Neurospora crassa OR74A: one gene and its partners. The main gene of each other region encodes a partner of the protein of the gene in region 2 in a complex. Links are inferred from orthologs where the notes say so. Each region holds a gene or a part of one and is shown on either strand. Other genes may lie near its edges.

Evidence for each region.
Region 1: NCU08034 (region 2) and NCU02559 share a complex: the UniProt entries of both Schizosaccharomyces pombe proteins name them as parts of the spliceosome. The link is inferred for Neurospora crassa OR74A from reciprocal best matches to the Schizosaccharomyces pombe genes usp102 and frg1.
Region 3: NCU08034 (region 2) and NCU07548 share a complex: the UniProt entries of both Schizosaccharomyces pombe proteins name them as parts of the spliceosome. The link is inferred for Neurospora crassa OR74A from reciprocal best matches to the Schizosaccharomyces pombe genes usp102 and usp101.

Annotation. Positions count from the first base shown.
Region 1 is NC_026501.1:2,733,715-2,736,934, reverse strand, and holds NCU02559 (hypothetical protein), read left to right. Parts: upstream 1-1,389; 5' UTR 1,390-1,509; coding exon 1,510-1,937; intron 1,938-2,049; coding exon 2,050-2,488; 3' UTR 2,489-2,637; downstream 2,638-3,220. Other genes in the region: NCU02560 (hypothetical protein), read right to left, coding at 1-763, 876-927; NCU02558 (MADS-box MEF2 type transcription factor), read right to left, coding at 3,070-3,220. UniProt on the Schizosaccharomyces pombe protein: May have a role in processing of pre-rRNA or in the assembly of rRNA into ribosomal subunits. May be involved in pre-mRNA splicing.
Region 2 is NC_026504.1:3,973,982-3,977,361, forward strand, and holds NCU08034 (small nuclear ribonucleoprotein U), read left to right. Parts: upstream 1-1,556; 5' UTR 1,557-1,734; coding exon 1,735-1,766; intron 1,767-1,887; coding exon 1,888-2,201; intron 2,202-2,272; coding exon 2,273-2,670; 3' UTR 2,671-2,871; downstream 2,872-3,380. Other genes in the region: NCU08033 (hypothetical protein), read right to left, coding at 1-815; vma-8 (vacuolar ATPase subunit D), read right to left, coding at 2,990-3,219, 3,280-3,320. UniProt on the Schizosaccharomyces pombe protein: Involved in nuclear mRNA splicing.
Region 3 is NC_026503.1:4,407,046-4,410,797, forward strand, and holds the start of NCU07548 (hypothetical protein), read left to right. Parts: upstream 1-1,095; 5' UTR 1,096-1,444; coding exon 1,445-1,706; intron 1,707-1,812; coding exon 1,813-1,940; intron 1,941-2,026; coding exon 2,027-2,132; intron 2,133-2,398; coding exon 2,399-3,150; 3' UTR 3,151-3,752. Other genes in the region: NCU07549 (mitochondrial 54S ribosomal protein MRPL51), read right to left, coding at 1-253, 556-638, 723-764. UniProt on the Schizosaccharomyces pombe protein: Involved in nuclear mRNA splicing. Essential for growth.

The DNA of each region.
Region 1 (3,220 bases), on a different chromosome or scaffold from region 2:
TCTGGAGATGTAGGGAGCTCGCCCAGAGGGGGTAGCGAGCCATTTACCGATGGGTTGACAACTGGGGGCGTGGCCGCCTCGTCGACGAACATGGCGGAGGTCAAGCCGGTAAGACAACCGTGGTCAAGATGGGTGGCGCACCAGTCGTCCTCATCGCCCTCCTCCTCCTTGTTGCTCTCCTTGCTGGCATCCGTCGCGGTCGCCTCCTCGGGGAAGTAATGCAGGAGACGGGCCTTGGTGGTAGTCGAGGTCTTCACGACACCCTCTAGATAGCCCGCCGGATAGCCAGCAATCTGCTTCTCGGCGAATCGGTCGCAGGCACGCGCAACAAGGACGGCAACGTCGATAATCAAGCGACAGAGATCTTCAAAGGTAGGCTTGAATCCAGGCAGGGTGCTCTCCTGGGGCCACAGGTTGGGCGACAAGTATTCGGGGAAGTTATCGGGGTTGAACTCCTCCGTCGGCTTTGCGCAAGACAACGAAGGGTCAACATAAAAGGCGCAGTTGGCATAGTAGGAACCCTTCAGGTTGTCGACCTGGCCATTTTTCAAAGTCTCCTTGCCGAGCGACCAGCCAGTCAGATACTTGGCCTTTTCGTTTTCGAGCCGGTCAAGTTCGGACTTGGGAAGGTTTCCAAGGTACGAGGAGTAAGATAGCAATCGGTGGCGCAGCTCAGCGAATTCCGCGGGGACGTCCTTAACGACCAGGATGCCGAGTGAATCGGGACCAAACGCCTCCTCGAGTGCCTCTAAGGAGACAGTTCCTGTCAAGATGCCATGTCAGTAGGGTCATTTAAAATTCGTCAACCCTGATCTGTAGTCAGAGCGGCCGGCTTATAATCGAGGTAATACGCTCGAGTGTGACGGGTAATTTACCGTTCTTCAAATCATTCAAAGATACCGTAACCGCCTGTGCAATGGGCGCCATTTCTATAAGTGGTCGAAAGATAAACTGTTGAACAAATCGTTCAGATACTAAAGCGATCAAGGAAAGCCGTCACCGCCGAAGAGGATCACAGGTCTGACTTGTATTACCTCGTAAAATTTTCCGTTTCTAAACGACTTACGTATCGTCTGGATCTTATAAGATACTCAAGGAACCAACCAAGTCGATGGCCGACGCTAACCAGTTCCCGAGCCGCTCAGAGTCTGCCAAAGCCTTACGGACCTGCTCGACAAGGGAAGTGGGCCCGGCCGAGAGATGGGGCATGAGTGGGGGCCCGGCCGGCTCCAACGGGCATTTCCGGGCCTTCCACTGCCGCACCCCGAAGCGGGGTTTGCCCAGCAAGCATGATGGGGCAAGGACCGTTGAATTTCTTATCGATAAGACTTCGATCTTATCTACCTTTAGGTAGGTACCTAGGTATGTAGAGGTAGGTACCGCTATGGACTTGTCTTGTTTCCATCATCGTCGGTCGGATCGGTCACGTCAACACACGCGCTCGATTGAACCATAACTTTCGAAAGCAGACCGCAAAACAGCCACATACAGTCCGACGGAGCATCAAATATGGTGAAACCTCTCACCTTTAAGGGCGACAAAAAGGCCAAAAAGAGAAAACGCACAACAACCGACCAAAACGACGATGACGTTCCAGAACGGCAAAAGAAGCAATTCAAAGCATCAGCCACCAGTTCCGATATCACCACTACTGCCGCCACCGCTTCCAATGAAGAAATAGAAGGCGAGGAACACGACGACAGCTGGGTATCTGCCGACACGCCCTCCGACGTATCTGGTCCCATCATGTTCGTCCTCCCGACCGAGCCTCCGACTGCGCTCGCCTGCGACGTCACGGGCAAGGTGTTTACTTTGCCCATCGAGAATATTGTGGACGGCAACCCGGCGACGGCGGAACCGCACGATGTGAGGCAGGTGTGGGTGGCGAATAAGATTGTGGGAACAGAGAATCATAGGTTTAAAGGGCATCATGGGAAGTACGTTATGATCAAAGTTTCTTCTGAGAAGCCCCCTTCATTCTTCCCGGTTCCGACCAAAACTCGTCCTATCCGAATAATTACTAATCAGTTCTCCCTGTGATTTTACTAGGTACCTAAGCTGCGACAAAATTGGTCTCTTCACCGCTAACTCCGATGCCATCACCTCCCTCGAATCCTTCACCATAATCCCGACCTTCGACACACCTGGCACCTTCCAAATCCAAACTTTACGGGACACATTCTTAACAGTCCGCGCATCGAATTCATCAAAAGCTAACGCGGCACCTGAGGTGCGCGGCGATGCGACAGAGATCTCGTTCGATTCCACGCTGCGAATCCGGATGCAGGCGCGGTTCAAGCCGCGGATCAAGGCGTCGAAGGAGGAGAAGGCGCGGGAGAAGATTAGCCGGCGCGAGCTAGAGGAGGCCGTGGGGAGGAGATTGGAGGAGGACGAAGTGAAGAAATTGAAGAGGGCGAGGAGGGAGGGTAATTATCATGAGGTCATGTTAGATTTGAAAGTGAAGGGAAAACACGACAAGTATGGTTAAGGGAGCAGGCAGAGGTGAAGAGAGACGGGGCCTGCTGGCCACGCGCGTGCGGGGGGGGTTTTAAACCTACCTCTACGATGGTATGAGACTTTACACGATACCCAAGAAAATGTGACTTAGATCTCAATAGATGGAACTCATTGGTTGGACTTGAAGACTGCACTATGTATCTTCCAGTGATGATTCTATAACACGTTGGAAGCAGCGCAAGAGGGAAGGAGTGACATTGAAGTTGCACTATGTTTCGGCAAGAAGAGGGCTGGAAAGCAACAATAACTTGATACACCAAGTAGTCCTTGATCTAACGCGCCTTACACCATACAACGCCGTAAAACCACTTGACCGTAAACTTCCTTAGGCTCTATCCGATCAGGCCATCATAAAAATTGGAAAAACTATTTGGAGAAAAGATAGGAAAAATAGAAGATCAATAAAATGAAATGAAAAGAAAAACCCATGCCCAAGGGAATGAGAGCCAATAAAAAGTCAATCACGAACGCCGCTATACCATGCTAAGAGTATTATTTTGTTACAATAAGTATTCAGGAACAGAAAGTGAAGAAAGAGATGACGGGGTCGACCTAAGATTCGAGCCGCATCCGTTTAGCATCTTGATTGTTCCCAGTGTCATTCTCGGGCCCAGTACTTTTCGTCTCGGGGCTCTTCCTCTTCAGTGGAGTGGGATCGTCTCTCAAGAACGATGGCCCGGTTCCATTAACAGGTGTAGCAAAG
Region 2 (3,380 bases):
CATGGCACCATCCTTATGGCCTGGCAGGATTGTTTATCGGTTGCGCCGAAGAGCAGGGTCGAGCTCAAGCCGTGGAGAAAGTTATTTTTCTCGGAGAACATGAGGTCGGAGCTCTTGCTGGCGTTGCCCCAGCGCAGGTTGGCGAAGTCGGGAGACGTTTGACACTGTATCGATTCAAGGATTCGTTCGACCTGCCAAGCGAGGACCAAGATAACAGGTAACCGCAGCGCAAGCCGAAGAGTCCAGCGTAGTGCAAGTCGGCGGCGAGTAGCGGCGAATATGTGTGTTCGGTTGAAGACAACGGCCATGACGATGCATGCTAGAGCCCACTTGCTTGTTGCGTAGCTAAAGACGCTCCCTAAACCTCTTGCGCCCTCCATTGTAAATCGTGATGCGAAGGCGGCTGACTCTTGGCCCGTAGCAGTGGCCGCGGCCGAAGATGATGCGGATTCGAGTATGGCTCGAGCGGCGTCGGCGGCGGTGGTGCTGTCAGGAGTAGTCGTGACAAAGAAAGCGGCTGGATCGGTCGACTCGGCTATGACGCGCTGGCCAAAGCCGTCAATGGCATCGGGGTAGAATATATAGGAGCCGCCCAGCTTCCCCAGCTTCTTCACCATCCTGGGTCCCGCCCAGACCAAATCCTCGAGCGTAGGCGCCAGTTTCGTCACGTTGAACGCATAGCCCAGGTGCTGGGCGGTCCAGAGCGTGAAGTTGTGCCATGCGCTGGCATTGTTAAGCACCGGGATGGGTACTGATGTCGACGCCAAGGCTGCCGCCGCCGTTGCAGCACCCGGCAGGAAAACACTATCGTCCATAATGGGATCTTATGGAATGGAAGGTGAATGTATCACGCTGAGGTTCGGGCTCGCAAACTCCTCTTTTACTGCGTAATGAGCTGGGTGGCGATCGCCGGCTGCGTCGGCAACTGGCTAACCGCCTATCTTCACTTCTGTCTCTTCCTGGTTGCGCGAGTCCTTGTCTCTCATCTGGTGGTTTCGCTCAGGAAAACGTCCAGCATCTTCGCATGACAGAAAGGGGCGGCAAACCGAGACGGTTGTTACGCGTATGGACAGCTGTTGGGTTCCCAGGTTGTTTGATATAGTAAGTATAGAAGCTGGATTTCAGGATGCTGAGACGGCCACAACATGGAGACTGAGTGGGAAACCAGAGACAAGAGGGGAGAGGACAGGACCGCTGTTGCCGCGGGACGAGACACACCCTGCGACAGCGGGCAAAGCGGAGAGAATGGACTACTTACCCGACACTGCATCGGAGCAATCAACAGCGAGCAACAGGCGGGCCTTGCGATAAGTTGCATGGAATGATAGCCGAGCGGGATGAGGTAACTGGTGGGGCCCCACGCCCCAGACAGGCTTGTTACATTCGTGTGTAGTGTACAGTGCCTAGACTAGAGGTAGTAGCCTCCTAGCGTCACGTAGCGCAGCTGAGCCCAGGTGGTGCCTCCTGAGCGCTTCCCGTCCTTGCGCTAGGCATAGAGTCCCTTGTTGAATTGCGGATCCCCAACTCACCACCAAAAAAAGCAACTCCACTAAGAACTTGCACTTGGACATCATTACACTTCAAGATTGCTCGGTGATAACCGACCACGACACCTACAGTACCTACTAGTCCTATTCTTGCGCACGAGCATTTTACGATCTTCACGATCATCACGCGCATAGATCCTTCGTACCGTTCCAATCGCTATTTTTAAAACGTCGATAGCCACCAACAATGGCTTCAGCTGGACAGGCCCCCATCGCTACGTATGTGTCATTGCACTCCGACACATACAAAGCACTGGCTGGTGTCGGGTGTTTCTTTCTAGTCGAGAGGTAATCCCGGAACACGATCAAGCTAACCGACCCATGTTTGCGGTTTGTGTAGAGTCTATGTACGCAATCTCGAGGAGCGCGTCAAGCCAGAGCCCCTCAAGGAGGCCCTGCGCACCATCTTCTCCGAATACGGCAATGTGATTGATATCGTCGCCAAGACCAACCTCAAGGCCAAGGGCCAGGCCTTTGTGGTCTTTGACAAACCCGAGTCGGCTCAGGCTGCCATCGATGAACTCCAGGGCTTCGAGCTGTTTGAGAAGCCCATGGTGGTGACCCTGGCGCGGACGAGGAGCGACGCTACGGTTATTCAGACTGGCAACGAGGAGGAGTTTGACCAGCACAAGCGCAGGCGCATTGCTGAGAAGGGTATGGTCCCTTCGCCTCCCCGACCCCCAATTAGCAGCGAGAGCATTCGATCTGACAATCATCCGCCACAGACAAGAAGAGAGCCCTCGAAGTCGCCGAACAACAAAACCGCCTCAAGCGTCCTCTCCAGGGTGCCGCCCCCGATGCGCGCCCTGCCAAGAACCAACGCGGTGCCGGCCTCAAGGCTACGGGCCAGGGCCCTGCTGCTGTTGTACCCGACGAGTACCTACCTCCCAACCGTATTCTCTTCGTCCAGAACCTACCCGACGACTTCACCAAGGACGACCTCACTACCATCTTTTCCCGCTTCGATGGCTTCCGCGAAGTCCGTACTGTGCCTGGTCGCAGTGGTATCGCTTTCGTCGAATACGATGCCGAGGCTGGTGCAATTACCGCCAAGGAGAACACGGCCGGCATGGCCCTGAAGAACGGCGAAAAGATCATGAAGGTTACCTACCAGAGACAGTAGAGCATGTTTTGAAGGATGCGTGCCCGGGGAAAGTCAACAAAGGAAGCAGTAGTATTGTGCGATACAGATGTTATGCACTGCACAGTTTATCAGAGTGTGCTAGAAGTTTTTCGTTTCGTGAGGGCACCACTCGGGCAGTTCGCAAAGCGCCTTCTTCAGATACCCATTGCTACAACAAGATTAAAAACAAGACAAACTCCTCAATTGCGCCCATGCCCTTTGCCTCAACAATTCTCATGCAAACAAAACATTCTTGATCGTCATCGACAGTCCGTCCAGCCATCAGCGATTCGCAATACGTTAAACAGTTGACATCAAACTAGAAGATGACGTCTTCGTCCTCCTCGGCAGCCAAGATATCGGCAGGGGTGTTTTCGGTTTGTTCACCTTCAGCATTCTCAGAGTCTGCAAGGGCTAGCCGCTGCTGCTCTGCCTTCTTTGCTTTCATCTGAGCGTCAGTTTCCGCATTGTCTCGTTGCTTCTTGGCAGCAACCTTCTTGAGTCTGTAGAACTCCTCTCTGTCAAGCTCGTCGAGTTCCGAGTTGATGTCTATAATAGCTGTCAGTAATCTACCCTAGTGCCGGAACCTTGGGGTTTACATCTACTTACACTTGATGGTGTTTTCGGTCCGAGGAATAATGACGTGCTCACTAGAAACTCCGTGTTAGTGTCCCCCATTCTATCTTGCAGGGAAGACAGGTTTGGTTCGC
Region 3 (3,752 bases), on a different chromosome or scaffold from region 2:
ACCTCTGACACTGGGGTTCGTGCTGGTGACGGGCTTCTTGAACTTCTGGGGCTTCTCGCCGCTCGCGTCGCGGAGGAGCTCGGCCTTCTTGAGGATCTCGAGCGGCTCCATGTTGCGCACGCAAATGGCCTTGGTGCGCCCGTTGATGTAGTGGCCCATGAGGATCGGGTGCTTGGCGGGCCGGGGAGAGACGACGAACTCGATTTGCGGGTTGGCGGCGGCGAATTTGGGGAGGAGGGATTTGATGAAGCCGCTAGATGGAGGAAGAAGTAAGTGTTAGTGAAAGAGTCTGTCTGCTGAGGTCGCGAAGGGAGACTGGAGGGATAAGGAGGGACGAGGAGGGACGAGGAGGGACGAGGAGGGACGAGGAGGGACGAGAAAAAGGGTATGTAGTGGTGGATGGATGGATGGATGGATGGTCGGGGACGGCGGGATGGTCTCGAGATCTTGGGAGGATGTCGGTTTGGTTGGACGTGTAGAGGTATTGGTATATGTGAAAGATGTTCGATCGGGAATGAGGTTGCGATGTCCATATTCGAAGAATCCTAAACGTACTTCATGCCCCGGGAGCTGCCGGCCCAGTCACTGTAGTGGATGTCCAACTTCTTGCACTGCAAGACGAATGCGCCGACGCCATTCTAGATACAAAACAATCAACGATTAGCATTCTTTTTTTTCTGAAAATTAAAGTTTTTAGTTGCTCAGGCTGCGGTCTAACTTACACGGCCGGCAGAGGAGATCTGCGTCAATGCTTTTACCGTCATTGTTGTGATGCTCTTCTTCTTCTTCTTCTTCGCCGCCGTCCTCGCCTTGCAACAAGTCCGAGTCCACCAGGGTTCATGATCCGGAGGGCGGGTGCGACTTGAACTTCTGCCAGACTCCCGCCCCGTCGCGCGCCGGCACGGCACTGGGGGTGGGGGACCCGCCCAACTGCAAAAGCGGTTGGCAGAATCAATTTCACGCGATTGCACTCCTCCTTGGGTGTGTGCGTAGTGATAACGAAGACGACCTAAGGGTGCACGGTCCCTCTTTCGCACTCAGTCGTTCGGTGGTCGAGCGCGCGAGAAAGCTGCCCAGCAAGAGCTCCAGTCGCTGCGAGGCTGCCAGGCAGTGGACGACACAACACCAGACAGGGCCCTTTGCTGCTCCCGCCTCCCACCCTCTGTCTCTCGTCTTCAGCTGTCCAAGCAAAGTCGCGAAAATGCGGGTTTGACCTTTCTCGCAAACCGACAACACCACATTATCGCCATCACAAGAATTGGCAAACAGTAACAGCGTTCAGCCTTATTGAACTGTTCTCGCCCGGCTTTCCGAACAGTGGATCAAACGCCAGACGACCTACATTTCCTGGTTTCCGACATATCGATTTCATAATTCGACGACAGATAAGATCAACAAAAAAACACCACTTGACCAGCTACAACAGCGACAACGTGAAGCGACAATGACAGACCGGCTCCCGCCTAACCTCCTCGCACTCTTTGCGCCCCGGCCACCTCTGCGCTGGGTGCCGCCCTGCGATGTTGCTCCCGAAGAGCGCAAGTCGGCCTTCATCACCCCCGTTGCCGACTTCCTTCCTGCCATGCAGGCCTACGAGCAAGAATACGAGTACCATCCCACCGAGAGCTGGCTGGAGGCGCGCGACCGCAAGAAGCGCGAGAAGAAGGAAGCTTTGGAGAAGCTGTTGACCGAGGGTCCCAAGAATTGTACGCGGCAAACCCCCAACGTTACGCGCAGTTGTGCTCGCTACTCCTTTACTTGATCATGATCTTGCTGTCGTGCGGCTTGCTAACCGATGGCGTTTATCTGTAGACAACCCTAATGACGATCCCAACATCAGAGGAGATGCTTTCAAGACGTTGATAGTAGCGCGTCTTGACTACCGTGCTGATGAACAGGATCTCGAGCGCGAGTTTAGCCGCTACGGTCCTATCGAGCGTGTGAGTTTGCAAACCCCCCCTCCTCCTATATCATGATTTCACAGCTATGTGTGTGTTAATTGACAAGAACTGACACCAAAAAACAGATCCGTATCATCAGAGATACCCACGCCGATGAGAACCCAAACAAGAAGAAAAAGCCCCATCGTGGCTATGCTTTTGTCGTTTTCGAACGCGAAAAGGACATGAGAGGTAATGACCAGCCCCCCTTGACCCCCCCCCCCCCCCTCTTCTTGACATTCAACCAGCACACACAGACAAGGAAACGCCCGCTGTCGGTGCTTTTCTGTAAGCCCACAACCAGGACTCGAATGGCCCTCAAGCTTGCCTGTCCTGCGGAAACTTTTTCGTCTTCCCTCTATCCATTCATCTTCCACGTCGTATACCTTAAAGGTAGTATTGTTTCTTCATGGTAAGGCCTTACTGACACCTGCGCCTGTGGCGCATGCGCAATCCAGCTGCTCTAGATGGCTGTGATGGCGCCCGTATTAAGGATCGCCGCATCAAGGTCGATGTAGAGAGAGGCCGCACGGTTAAGGGATGGAAACCTCGTCGTCTCGGTGGCGGCCTTGGTGGTCGTGGTTACACCAAGGCAATGCCCGCTAGGCCCATGGGTCCCGGTGGATTTGGCGGTCCCGGTGGCTTCCGCGGTGGTGGTTTTGGTGGCGGATTTAGAGGACGCGACCGCGGCTTCAGGGGTGGTGGCGGCCCCGGCGGCGGCTTTGGAGGTGGTGATCGCTTCGGTGGACGTAGCGGTGGCGGCGGTTTTGGTGGCGGACGTGACGGCGGCCGTGGCTTCGGCGGCCCAGGTGGCAGCAGTTTCTCGCCTCCGTCTAATGCTCCCAATGGTCCCGGTGGTGGCTTCGGCGGCCGTGACCGTGACAGTCATCGTGACAGGGACCGCGATCGCGACAGCCGCAGGGACGGTCCTAGCGGAAGCAGCGGTGGGTACGGTGGGCGTGATGGCGGTCGCTCATATGATGACAGATCTGGCGGCGGAGGTTTCCGCGGCGGCGAACGCAACGCTCGGCAGACTGGCAGCAACATGGAGCCCATCAGGCCTAGAGAACCCGGAGCCCCAAGGGAATCCAGAGACGGTGGGTATCACGGTGGCCGCGACTACGACAGGCCCAGAGATCACGACGACTCATCCAGGAAACGCGGATACGACGGCGGATACGAAGACCCCAGGAAGTTGCGGCGCTACTAGACATGATGGCTGCGAAACAGCATTGACAGACCTCCTAAGCAACAACAACATACTGGTCCGGTTTGTCTCGTGGTGGGTATCATCAGCCCCCTCTCACTGCTCTCAAGTTTCCACTCAGTATTATTCTTCCCTTTTCCTTCGACGATAAGGGTAAGCCACGATGATCACTTCTCACGTGTCATACTTGACTATGGACCGTGTCAACTATCCACGACCAGAAGAATAGTGGGAGGTATCCATGTTCGAGACACTTGGACGTCCAAAGCGGATGTGATTATCTTTTCCGGTGGCTAAGGTAACCGCGTCATAAGGATCCAAAGAGCAATGGTTTGCATGCTCATCAGCCCAAGTCCGAATGGCAATCCGTCCGGCCTTCCGTTCCATCGGTCTGTCAGTCACATCAGTCCAAAGACAACTGGAGGTCTAGAACTCCAGGTGGCACTGGTGAGAGATTTCGTCAACGCATGCACGGTGGTGTGGCACCCGTCGCATACAACCTTGGCAACTTAGGACAGTACACTCAAAAGCGTTCCGCCATTGTCTTTTCGGGAGTAACAAGACATCAATCAGCATCCGTTGCAGGAAGCTAAAATCGAGGTAAA